3 linked regions of the Diceros bicornis minor genome follow. The protein of the gene in region 3 interacts with the protein of the main gene of each other region in a pairwise test. Links are inferred from orthologs where the notes say so. Each region holds a gene or a part of one and is shown on either strand. Other genes may lie near its edges. The genes, in order: RNF168, rab5 GDP/GTP exchange factor and RNF11.

Region 1 (3,747 bases), on a different chromosome or scaffold from region 3:
GACAATGTGGAGAAATTGGAACCATTATACATTGCTGGTGGGAATGTAAAATGGTGCAGCCCCGTGGAAAAGTTCGGCAGTTCCTCAAAAGCTAAGCAGAACCACGATATGATTCAGCAATTCCACACCTAGCTATATACACAAAAGAACTGAGAATGTACTGACAACTACTTGTACGTGAATGTTCATATCAGCACTATTCAAACAGCCAAAAGGTGAAAACAACCCAAACGTCCATCAATGGATGAAGGTGTAACAAAATATATCCATAAAATAGAATATTATTCAGCTCTTGAAAGGAATGAAGTACTGATACATGCTACAACGTGCGTGAAACTTAGAAATATTATGCTAAGTGAAAGAAACCAGACACAAAAGATCACATGTTGTATGAATAAACTTATATGAAATATCTAGAACAAGCAAATTCATAGAGACAGAAAGTAGATTAGAAATTCCAGGGGTCGGGGGAGGAGAAGAATGGGGAGTCAATGATTAATTGTTAAAGAATTTGTCTGGGGTAATGAAAAAGTTTTGGAAACAGATAATGGTGATGGTTGCACAACATCGTGAACGTAATTAATGCCCCAAATTGTAAAAACTGCAAATTTCATATGTTATATATATTTTACCACAATTTTGAAAAAAATGTAAAATATCAAAACTACCGCATTGTACACTTTTAATGGATCAATTGTATGTGAATATCTCAATAAAGGAGTTTTAATAAAAGATAACTACTGTTAAAAATATGATTATCCTGTAACTCTCCTGGTCTGAAATCAGAACTTTATAGACAGGTTACAAACAGAAGCTGACCACTGATCTGTGCAATGAGGCACCTACCATCAAAGAAGGAAATCATTTTTAAGCCCCATATAGATACTGAATCTTCAGATCCAGGGATGTTTACATTCCTGCATTAAAATCAGTGTACTTATGGAAAATAAAGTTATGCTTGAAGTTAAAAAAAATATGTAAAAATAAAAATGGCAAATTTTGTTATATATTTTTCCACACTAAAAATAATTTCAAAAAAAAAAAAAAAGGCAAGTATACCAGAGCACAGGCAACACATTCAAAGCATAGATAAGGAACACTGCACGGTTTATTGATCACACAAGTGATCAAGCTGCTGGAGCCAAGTGTTCAGTTTGGGGCATACTAAATAGCTATTGAGTCCACACTGGAGAGCTCTGAATAAAAATGACTGAACTAGATAGAACTGGCAATAGAAAGCTGTTTTAGGCTGATTGCATGCTTAAGAGAAGAATTAAATGAACGGAGCTATATAAGCAAGTTAGAGAAAGGAAATGAAAATACAAGAAATATTAACACAGGAATCCAGTAGTTTCCTTACTTTTGCTGTTGCTGTACTAGGATTACTGCTCATCTTTGAATACTTATATAACTTTTCACATGATTAAAGGCTCTACAGGGGCCATTCTTATCTTTTTCTCCTTCCACTTTTAACCCAACAAACATCAACTGAACACAGGCTGCGCAATATGACAATGAACAAATCTCGCCATTGACCTTAACCAACATTTTGGGGCCCATAAAACCCAACCCCCCGTGAAGAATCTAGACAAACACTAGTCGTGCTTTCTTTACCATTTTTTAAAATAGAGAAGTGGGTATTCACTTTTTAATGGATTTTTTTTTAGCCAATAATCAGGCTGGTTTACTCACCTATTTCCTCTGATTCTTGCCCAGAGGCTCTCCGCTTACATTCCTTTGGATAGTGCTTTTGAATTATCTCCCACAGCTCCATATTGACAAGAGACTTTCTTCGGGTATGGTACCGGGTCCACGAAGAGACCCGGCGGCGACAGAAGGGACAGCATAAACTTGCCTTTTCGACAGTCGATTGGAAGCATGGATTACAGAGCGTGTGGTTACAAGGGAGTGTTACGGGCTCAATCAGGATTTCCACACAAATCGGGCACTGGCATTCCGACAAGGAAGGGATGGCGTCTTTGGGTACAGCCATATTAAGATGCTAATAAGGCAGATTCAACATGAACGCCCGAAAAGACAAAGAAGCGTAGTTCCGGACCAACTACGCAGAAAGCAAATTAACAGTTCTGTGTTTCAATATTATGCCCAGCAGCGCGTCAGAATTCACAGATTGGGCGCAAACTCGTCTTGAGGCAAAAGGAGCTCTGCGGCCCAGGTAAACAGTACTCCCTGGAAGGCGGTGTATTTGTCCACATTTAAGGCAAAGTCGGGTAAGAAAATAAATGAACGTTTCTGTCTGGAGACGCTGGCCGCTCCGAGGTATTTACATAACGGTTGCGGCAGAGCGGACGGTGGGTTCCGGCTCTCCGCGGGTAACGCGCCAAGTTCTCCTCCTCCCTCTTACCAGGTGAGGATGCTCCCTTAGCTCCCGGCAGCCAAGCCCCAGGCCGCCGCTCCGGCAACAACGCTGCCTCCGCCCGGACGCCGGGCTCCGCTGGAGCAGCACTTCCTTTTCCCCGTTGCAGTAGGCAAAGCCCGGGAGCCCCCGCGTTCCACTTTTCCGGCGCCCTGCGCCCCTCCCCACCTCGATCAGCCGAAAAGCGTAATCGCTGCGGTGGTGCCGTAGCAACCCGACGACGTCTAGTGACGTCACAACTGCCCGCCAAAACAGCCCCTCCTACCCAGGGAACCGCTCAAGGTTTAACGTTTGGTGGGTGGGACTTCCGGTCCGGAAGAGGGCCCTGCCGGCGCGTCGCAGCTCCTAGTGCTTCAGTTTGGGCGGAGTACAATCCTCCCCTGCGCCGTCGGCTCCCAGAGGCTGTGGAAACCGCGGAGTGTTGCGAGATTGTGTCTGGAGAGAAACGTGAAACCTCAAAACAAATTGAAAAACCGTACAGTGGTTTTTTGAAATGCGTCCCTCAGTACTGCTCAAACTACCTTTCTGTTTTTGTTAATTTATAACTAAGCCTCTTAGGTCGCTTTCCAGAGTTCTTGGAAAAGCAGCTCCAAGGTTGGTCTCCGAGAAAGGGTGTGGTCAGAGACTCTGCGAACTTCCTGCCCTTTAACAGGCACTTACGCTTGCTTGTAGAGCCCAGCCCCTTTCTAAGTCTCCGGCCCAGAGATAGATTGTATTGGGTTGCCTTTCTTCCTAAGGAGTTGGGAAACAAAGTGCAGGGCTGCTTCCATCCTGGGGCTCAGCAGTTATGTGCCTCATTTGTAATGTACTACTTTACTATTATATTTCAATCTAGAACAATCAAAATTACAAAGGAAGTCAAAAAGAAAATAGTTTAACAATGTGGGGGAAGAGGGAGAATCCCCCTCTGCCCTTTCCCTTAAGGTTTCTTATGGCTGGCCAAATAATTAACAAGACAGGTTAGCAGGAGAAAATAATACCAAGTTTAATAACATGTATACATGGGAGAAAGCAGGGACACTGCCTTTCTCCACACAATAGCAGAAATTCTTAAATACCATGTTCAGCCAATGACAAAGGAGGATGTTGGGGGTGGGGGGGAGTCAATTACAGGAGATTACCACTAAAGCACAGTAAACAAGAGTAAGGTTATTATGCAGATTTAAGGCCTCACCTTCCACATTGATAAGCCTCTAGAAATGAGGCCATCCCCCCTCTTCCCAATACAGAGAGGGAGATACCTTTACAAATGGAGATTTCCCTTATAAATGTAAATGTTTTTCTGGCAACTCCTTGGAGGGCCATCCAGAGAATGTGGCCAGAGAGACATAAGATGGGCTTGTTGATGCCTTTTCTATTGTAACATCTAT
Region 2 (3,747 bases), on a different chromosome or scaffold from region 3:
CACACTCATCAATTGCCAAGTCCTTCCATCTTCCCTCTGACGGCTCTTAAATCAGGTCTCTCCACCCCAATCCTACTATCTCTGCTCTAGAGTTCAAAGCCTTCATTGTCCTCCTTCCACTTCCTGAATTTACCATTTTGGTGTCCTTGCTCACACTATCTTCTCTTTCCAAAATGCTCTTACCACGCTCCCTCTGTCCACCTAGCAAATTCGATTGCCCCATTTGGTGGTGCATGTTGTTCACTGCACAAGGGCACCTGGATCAGAGTGATCTGCTAGTCCAGCCGTGTGCCCTTTTTCTAACGCACACCAAGGCACCACATAGGTTAGCAGCATCCATGCATTCTAAAAGCTTCCATTCCAGGTTCTCTACTCAGAGAGCATTTCTGCTCTATTGTCTCTCGCCTGTCCCCAAGACAGAGTTAACTAAACACTCCCTCCATTGGACCTTCACTGTGTGCCACACTCTCTGATAGTGTCTAGCAGAATACATTGGCAATTATTTTCTTCTGTTGGCCCACCCTACTAGACCCCAAGCTTCCTGAGGCAGGGACAGCATCCTGTTCATCAATCAAGAGGCCACCCAGAGCAAGGCTCGTAGATGTTTATTGAATAATTCCAGGCATCACTCCTCATTTTCTGTGCCTTACCACTTCTCTCCTTCCTAATCTGTAGAGTGAGAAGATTAGTTCCCAGTCCAGCTAGGGTTCTGGAGGCAAGGGCAGGGCGCAAGACAGGGACTGATGGTATACATTTGCCCCAAGAAGCTCTAGGTTCTCCCTAAAATGCTCAGGACCATTTTTTTTTTTTACTATCTTTCACTGCTTGTAGTTTTGAAAGAAACAAAGCCAGTTCTGATTTTCCCACAAACTTCCTCCAGATTAACTAAAATTTTATCCCAGTGCATACTTTTCAATATTACGACATCTCTCTGGCTCCAGTGAAAAGTCTATGTATATTTATCTAGACAGTCCTTTGCCCCAACTTTCAAATCCTTTGTGAAATAAGGTAGGATACAAATAGATTAAATCAAAGTTACCCAGGGTCTAGTACAGTGCCTGGCTCACAGTAAAGACCCAAATATGGGGCCGGCCCGTGGCTTAGCAGTTAAGTGCGTGCGCTCCGCTGCTGGCGGCCCGGGGTTCAGATCCCGGGTGCGCACCGACGCACCGCTTCTCCAGCCATGCTCAGGCAGCGTCCCACATACAGCAACTAGAAGGATGTGCAGTTATGACATACAACTATCTACTGGGGCTTTGGGGGGGAAAATAAATAAATAAATAAAGTCTTTAAAAAAAAAAGACCTAAATATGCACTGAACGAATGAATGAAATAGACAGGTGTTTCCAATTCTGTGCATGTATGTACCGTTACTCGTCTGCACCCAAAGAACAGGAATGCCTTCTGCTTATTCTATAGCTCCTCTGAAACTATTCTGTGTGCATACCAAGGACTCAAATATTATTTGGGGATAATAATACTTTACATTTCTGGAGCTCTTTAAACATTTTCCAAGGATATCTCATACCAGCGCAAGTGTCTGCTCCATACTAGAGGTGAAAAGACCGAGGCAGAGAGGAAAAATGCACCGCTGTGTCTCTGATAGCAATCTTTTTCCAGCTGCAAAGAGCACTTCTAGAGTTTTGCTCATTTTCTCAAGCGTCCCATGATGTGGGGGGTATGGGCTTCCAAGCACAAGAGGACACTATCTGCTTCCCAAGAGCCTCCTCCAGCCCAGCGCTGCTCCTCTGGGCTCTGTCCACTCTCCTAGGACTCCACACACACATGCATATCCGGCACTACCTTAGTCCCTTCCTCCCAGTTTCCATCTTTAGTGCCCAGCAGTGCCCCACCTTCCCTCCTCTTTTCCCTTCTCTTGAGGGTCATTTCAGGTGTTACTATGGTAGTGTCATACACATTAAGACCAGTAGAAGCTACCGGGCATCACAGGACAGCAGCTAGTGAGAGAAAGCCATAGAGTTGTCAGATGAGTGTGGACACATCCATTAACTGGCCTGCTTCTTATCTGCGCACAGCCCCTTACTCCACTCTCTGAGCAGTTGAAGGTTGGGTTTGGGCAACCACCAAGGCCTCCTCTTGGATTTTCTAGAAGACACTATCACCTCTTGAGGCTCCAAGGTCCCCTTCCCACGGCCTACCCTCCCTCCTCTGGTTGGTAAGGGTGGAACACAGGGATTGGAATAAATCAGCCTTGCAAGCAGTGAGTACTGGAAAGAGGAGGGTGGGGGGCCAGGTGTCCCTGGGGCAGGGGAGACACACCTGGTGGGTTTTACGGAGGGATGGGAGTGGGTGGGTGGGCAGGGGAGCACAGCTGCTCCGGCGCCGCCCTCAGCCCGATCCCGGATGCCCAACCCCAGCGCTGCTCACATCCCAAGGTCAGCTGTGCCCCGCACCTGCGTCTCCCCCTGCGCCCCTTCCCACTCCCCCCACCCTTCTAGGTACCTCCTGGGGCAGCAGGGGCAGCGCGTGCCCCGCCTGCGTGGCCGTCGGGGTGGCGGGCTCCAGAAAGTCGTCTTCGGCGTCGGAGCTGGACATGGCACCGTCCGGGCGACGGCTGTCTGGCTCCCGCCCCGTGACTACCACCATCCCTCTGGCTCTGGGCAGTGGGCGCGGCTTCGGGCAGGCGGGCGGCGGCCCGGGCACTAGCGCCGAGCAGCGCCTGGCATGACGCGGCGCGGCCGACAGGCGGGCCCGGCGGGGCCGAGAGCGAGTGCGCGCAGGGCGGGGGGCGGTCGCTCCCTTAGCCGACTGGCACGCGGACCACCGCGCGGACCCCAGGGCCACCGACCTGACCCGGCCGCCTCCCGCTATTGGCCGAGCCCCCGCTTGCCCCGCCCCTGATTGGCAGGAAGCTCGCCCAGTCCTAGAGCAGGCGGCGCGTTCAGCCTGCACCTGAGTGGCCACTGGGTGCCGGGCCTGCTTGCCTGCCCTGCTCTGATTGGCTCTCTGGCCAGCGGCGCGCCCTCTCCACCCGCGAACACTCGTCCGGCGCGCAGGGCGGGGGTGCGCGGCCGCCGCCTCTAAGCTGGCCTCCTGGTTGGCTGTGAGGGTGGCTCCAGCATCGGGGTCGACACCTAGTGACTTGAGAGGAGGGAAGGCTCGCGACTTAGTCGTTCGTATGTCTCCAGGGCAACGGGTCTTGTGCCTCCTTGGGCGTGGAGGGCCAGGGAAATCGCGGGGGTGGGGGGAAGGTCACCTCAATGGAGGTGGCGGGAAGACGCCTGAGGATGTGGCGGAGGATGGCTGAGGTCACGGAGGTCGTAAGAGAGGAGTGCTGACCCTCCTTAAGCCAAAAACCCACCAGGACTGGGTTTCCAGCCCTTCCCGATTGACTCAAGTAGGAATCCGAAAACGAAAACTCAAAATAGGGGTAATTGAGTTCAATTAAGAATGACAGTGACTCTCCGCCCTGTCCGTGCCAGTTCCTCCGCTGGGTACCTGGACACACAAATGGAGACAGGCCCCATCCAAAGAAGCTCCCAGGCTGGCGAGGCGGAGTCCAGCACGATCCAACGCATCTGTCTGCAGCCTTGGTTGCTGTGTAGCTGGCTAGGGGCTGGGTCAGTGCAGGGCCTCTCCTAGGGATCAAGGTTTTAGCTCTTTAAACCATTTTTATACCCATTCCTCATTTGATACTCACACTGTTGTGACAGAAAAGGAAATTGAGGCCTAGAGGATTAGAACAGTTTCAGGGAGGTCAGCAATGAGCTAGAGGCACAACACTTC
Region 3 (3,747 bases):
AAGCACGTTATGAGGGAAACGAAGAGTGAAATACAATTCAATTGCTTCAAAGATGTGGAAAGACATCCAGATTTAGCTTGGATTTTTTAAGACTTCCCCTGTGACAATTCTTTGTAAGAAATGGGTGTGTAAACTTACGAAACATAAGATGGAATTCAAATTCACTAATTCATTCAACATTTAAGTGCTTCTTATATTCCACAAATTGCTGGAAGCACTGGGGACAGAGACCCTGTTCTCAAGGGCTTATAGTCTTCACTTATCCCGGAGTTACTGAGTATTTACTGTGAGCCAGATGCTGGGGATACAAGAGCAAACAGGAGACACAGGGTCTCCACCTGCATGCAGCTTACACTGAGGGAGGAGGGAAATGCCCAAGGATGAGACATACATCTAACTAAACAAGGATAAACACTCAAGTGTTATATGTGCTGCTCATGGAAGCGTAGAGGGAGGGTTCGGGGGGGGGGGACACAAACAAGGAAGTGCATGGATTCAGGGGGGAGAGAGGGAAATACAGGAACTTCAGGTAGCAGGTGACACAAGAGAGCTGAGTCCTCAAAGAAGATTAGATGTTCACCTGGCTGACCTTGGGGGAAGGGCTCCAAGCAGAGGGAGCAACTGGAGCAAAGGCAGAGGGGTGTGAACAGGCTGGTGTATTTGGTAGGCCTGGAATACCGAACGTGAGAGAAGTCACGGAGGCTTCTGTATGACACAGTTAAGACTGGACTTCATTGGTATATATGAAACCCCTGAAGGGTTTTATCCAGAAAACCAGCAAAAGTGATCAGGTTTTTCTGGTGTGATGAGACACTGGTTTACACAAGAATGAGAAAAGAATAACACTAGATAATGATGTCACCACATGAAACAACAAAGGAAACTGCCTAGTTAGAAAACTAAACCTCCTTCAGGAAAAACATTAAGCCACTTAACTACCCGAGCCCTTCTGGAAAAAGTTTTTAATCAACATCATTTAAAATCGAAAAAGCAGAGGAAAAGGTTTTATATATATTACGGATTATAACATCTACGTATCTATTTTGAGGTTTCTCAAGAGGTCTTAGCTCTTTATTAATTGTGTAAACACATCTGGGGCTGCTGATTGTTGAACAAAAAGCAATGAAACTATTTAGGAGGAAGTCTGCTACATACGGAGACAAACGAGTAACAGAAGGTATTTCTCAAGTTAGGTTTAAAGGTTTCCAAAGTTCAAGATAATCAAGTTTTATTAAGTCAGCGTGATTAAAAGGTGTGTCATAGGGGTGGGGCAAAAGGAGGAGGGATTAAAAATTAATATATACATTTAAGTAAACAAGTAACTCTCGATGTCGCTGGGACTAAAATCACTTGAAGACCACTTAAAGGTCTTCTCCCAAGTAGAAGGAGAAATGAACATCTACCGGATCCAACTGACACAAACGGACAAGGGAGGAGGGGAGGAGGGAGACAGGACACGACGATCACACATGAAAATTTAAAGGGGCGGGGGGCAACCACCTATCCAGAACTCACAATCCAGCTGCCGGTGCGATAAGAAAACCATCCCCAAACCTCACAGCTTAGATTCCACGATTCAGGCATAAAGGCAGGAAAATGTCACTCCCAAACTCCACAAGCTAACCACCAGTCACTGGCCAAGGGGCTATGATCACATACTCGGATCCCAGAACTCAAGGACAGAGGGTACCATCCCCACACCATGCTCGAGGGAGAGGTGAAGGATCCCCTCTATTCTGGGAGTAGGGAGCAATCACTCCTGGATCCAGGCCTAAGGGGGTCAACGCCCCCCAGGCCAGGCCTTGCCGAGGCCAGGGGCAGTGACAGCCCCGAAGCCCCCTCAATCTGGGCTGGAGCTGTTTCTGCTCCTCGCACCCCCTCCTCCCCAAATACACACCCTCCCCTACCTGATATGGCGGCGGCGGCTCCTGATCCGGCTCCGTCCCCTCGCCAAAACTAGCCCGGTCGGACTGAGACTCGTGAAGCAGGGAGATGTCATCCGAAGTGGGGGATTTGAGGCAGTTCCCCATCTTCCGGAGCTGGGGTGTGTGATCTGGGGGAGTAAGAAAGCAGTGGCGGGGTCGTCGCACGCTTCGCGGTAAGCCGCGGTCAGCGAGGTGGGGTCGGGCGGCAGGCCGGGGCTCAGGCGGCGGCGGCGGCTCCCCCGCCCCCCGGCGCCGCCGAAGGGCCGCTCATGCCAGTCCCCGGGGGTGGGGGCTCAAGGCTGGGCCACCGGCTCCGCCGGGGTCGCGGCGGTTGCCTCCCGTGAGGCGGCGATGGGGGGCGGGGGGGGCGGGGAGACGAAGCACTTCCCCACCCCGCCCCCCCGCGGGGCGGCGGCGGCCACGGAGCTGCTGGGCCTAATCCAGGTCAGGAGGGGGGGGCGCGGCCGTCGCGGCTGCCTCAGCTGCTGCCTCAGCTGCTGCTGCCCCTGCCGACGCCGGAGCCACGGCCGCGGGCCTCATCCTACTCCGCCTCAAAGCGGCGGCGGCGCCCAGAACGAGGCCAGCTGCGGCCCTGCGTCATGCCGCCTTGCGTGCTCTGGTCCCGCCCCCGGCGCCGGGAGGCGTGGGCAGCTCCGGCCGCGCGGCCGCACCCCCCTACCCCCACCCTCTCCCAGCTGTTCCTGGGCTGCGTCAGTTTCTTTCTTTCTTTGACAGTTGACTGGGTACCTGACTCCGAAACCTCTCTCGGTCTCTCGCGCCTCCCATATACTCTTCTTCTCCACTCACCTCAGCTCTTACCTGTGCACTGTTCTGACGGGCTTCTCACTGCCTTCTGCCGGGTGATCTATTTATAAACCCATATCTGATTCTGTCGCTCCCTAGGTTAAAATGTTAATTGGCTTCCCCTTTATCCCTTCGGAATAAAGTCCAAGCTCACTAATGAACCTTCCCCTCTGTCTCCAGTCACTTCCTTATCCTCGTCCGTCACAACCAGAGAGATTCTTCCTCCAGTTGTATATCTGGGATTGTTCTGTTTCTTTCCATTCCCACCACCATAGTCCAAGCCACCATTATCTCTTGCCCACACTACTGCAACACTCTCAGCTATTCTCCCTGCATTCGCCATTGCCCCCATCCAATCCACTATTTGCACAGTTGAATTATCTTTTTAAAATGTAAATCTGATCATGTCACTCCCCTGTTTAAAACCTTAATGGCTTCCCGATACTGTTATAAGTATTCTTAAATGCTTTTCAAATCTGACTACCTCCCCAATCTCATTACCAGCATTGCCTCGTCACCTATTCTAAACTCTAGGCTGTCTAAATAAAGTACTTTCGGTTATCTAGAAAACTGTTCCCTCTGGCTGAAGCCTTTACCCATGTTGTTTCTCTGACAGAAACTCACTTCTCCCCACTCGCAGCCTTCTACTTCCCATCAGGCTAACTGTTATTCCCACTTGTCGTTCCTGGACTCAGCTTCATTTCCCCTGGGAAGGCTCTTCTAACCCTCCAGTCTGGGTTAGTCACCTCCTCTGTGCTCTCAGTCCTTGAGCTTTTCTCTGCCACAGCCTGATCAAGCTGAATCATCTGTCCCTCTTTTTGTGCAAAGCCTGGCACATTGCCTAAGGTAGAGTAGGCTCTCTTCTGGGTTGAATGAACAAACAGCTCAAGAAGCAATGTGTGCAAAGGAAGGAAACAAGAAGGATGGGAATGCTCCTAAGAGTGATTCATTCAACAAGAAGACAAGAAGTTGGTCTTGACTCCATTTCTTTTTTTCACCGTTTACTGATTTTTTTTTT

What was found.
Region 1: the proteins of RNF11 (region 3) and RNF168 interact in binary tests that used the Homo sapiens proteins (3 or more experiments, as listed by UniProt). The link is inferred for Diceros bicornis minor from reciprocal best matches to the Homo sapiens genes RNF11 and RNF168.
Region 2: the proteins of RNF11 (region 3) and rab5 GDP/GTP exchange factor interact in binary tests that used the Homo sapiens proteins (3 or more experiments, as listed by UniProt). The link is inferred for Diceros bicornis minor from reciprocal best matches to the Homo sapiens genes RNF11 and RABGEF1.

Annotation. Positions count from the first base shown.
Region 1 is NC_080754.1:27,476,355-27,480,101, forward strand, and holds the start of RNF168 (E3 ubiquitin-protein ligase RNF168), read right to left. Parts: upstream 2,581-3,747; 5' UTR 1,994-2,580; coding exon 1,693-1,993; intron 1-1,692. UniProt on the Homo sapiens protein: E3 ubiquitin-protein ligase required for accumulation of repair proteins to sites of DNA damage. Acts with UBE2N/UBC13 to amplify the RNF8-dependent histone ubiquitination.
Region 2 is NC_080765.1:19,584,846-19,588,592, forward strand, and holds the start of rab5 GDP/GTP exchange factor, read right to left. Parts: upstream 2,685-3,747; 5' UTR 2,608-2,684; coding exon 2,464-2,607; intron 1-2,463. UniProt on the Homo sapiens protein: Rab effector protein acting as linker between gamma-adaptin, RAB4A or RAB5A. Involved in endocytic membrane fusion and membrane trafficking of recycling endosomes. Stimulates nucleotide exchange on RAB5A. Can act as a ubiquitin ligase.
Region 3 is NC_080752.1:13,659,299-13,663,045, reverse strand, and holds the start of RNF11 (RING finger protein 11), read right to left. Parts: upstream 2,456-3,747; 5' UTR 2,031-2,455; coding exon 1,908-2,030; intron 1-1,907. UniProt on the Homo sapiens protein: Essential component of a ubiquitin-editing protein complex, comprising also TNFAIP3, ITCH and TAX1BP1, that ensures the transient nature of inflammatory signaling pathways. Promotes the association of TNFAIP3 to RIPK1 after TNF stimulation.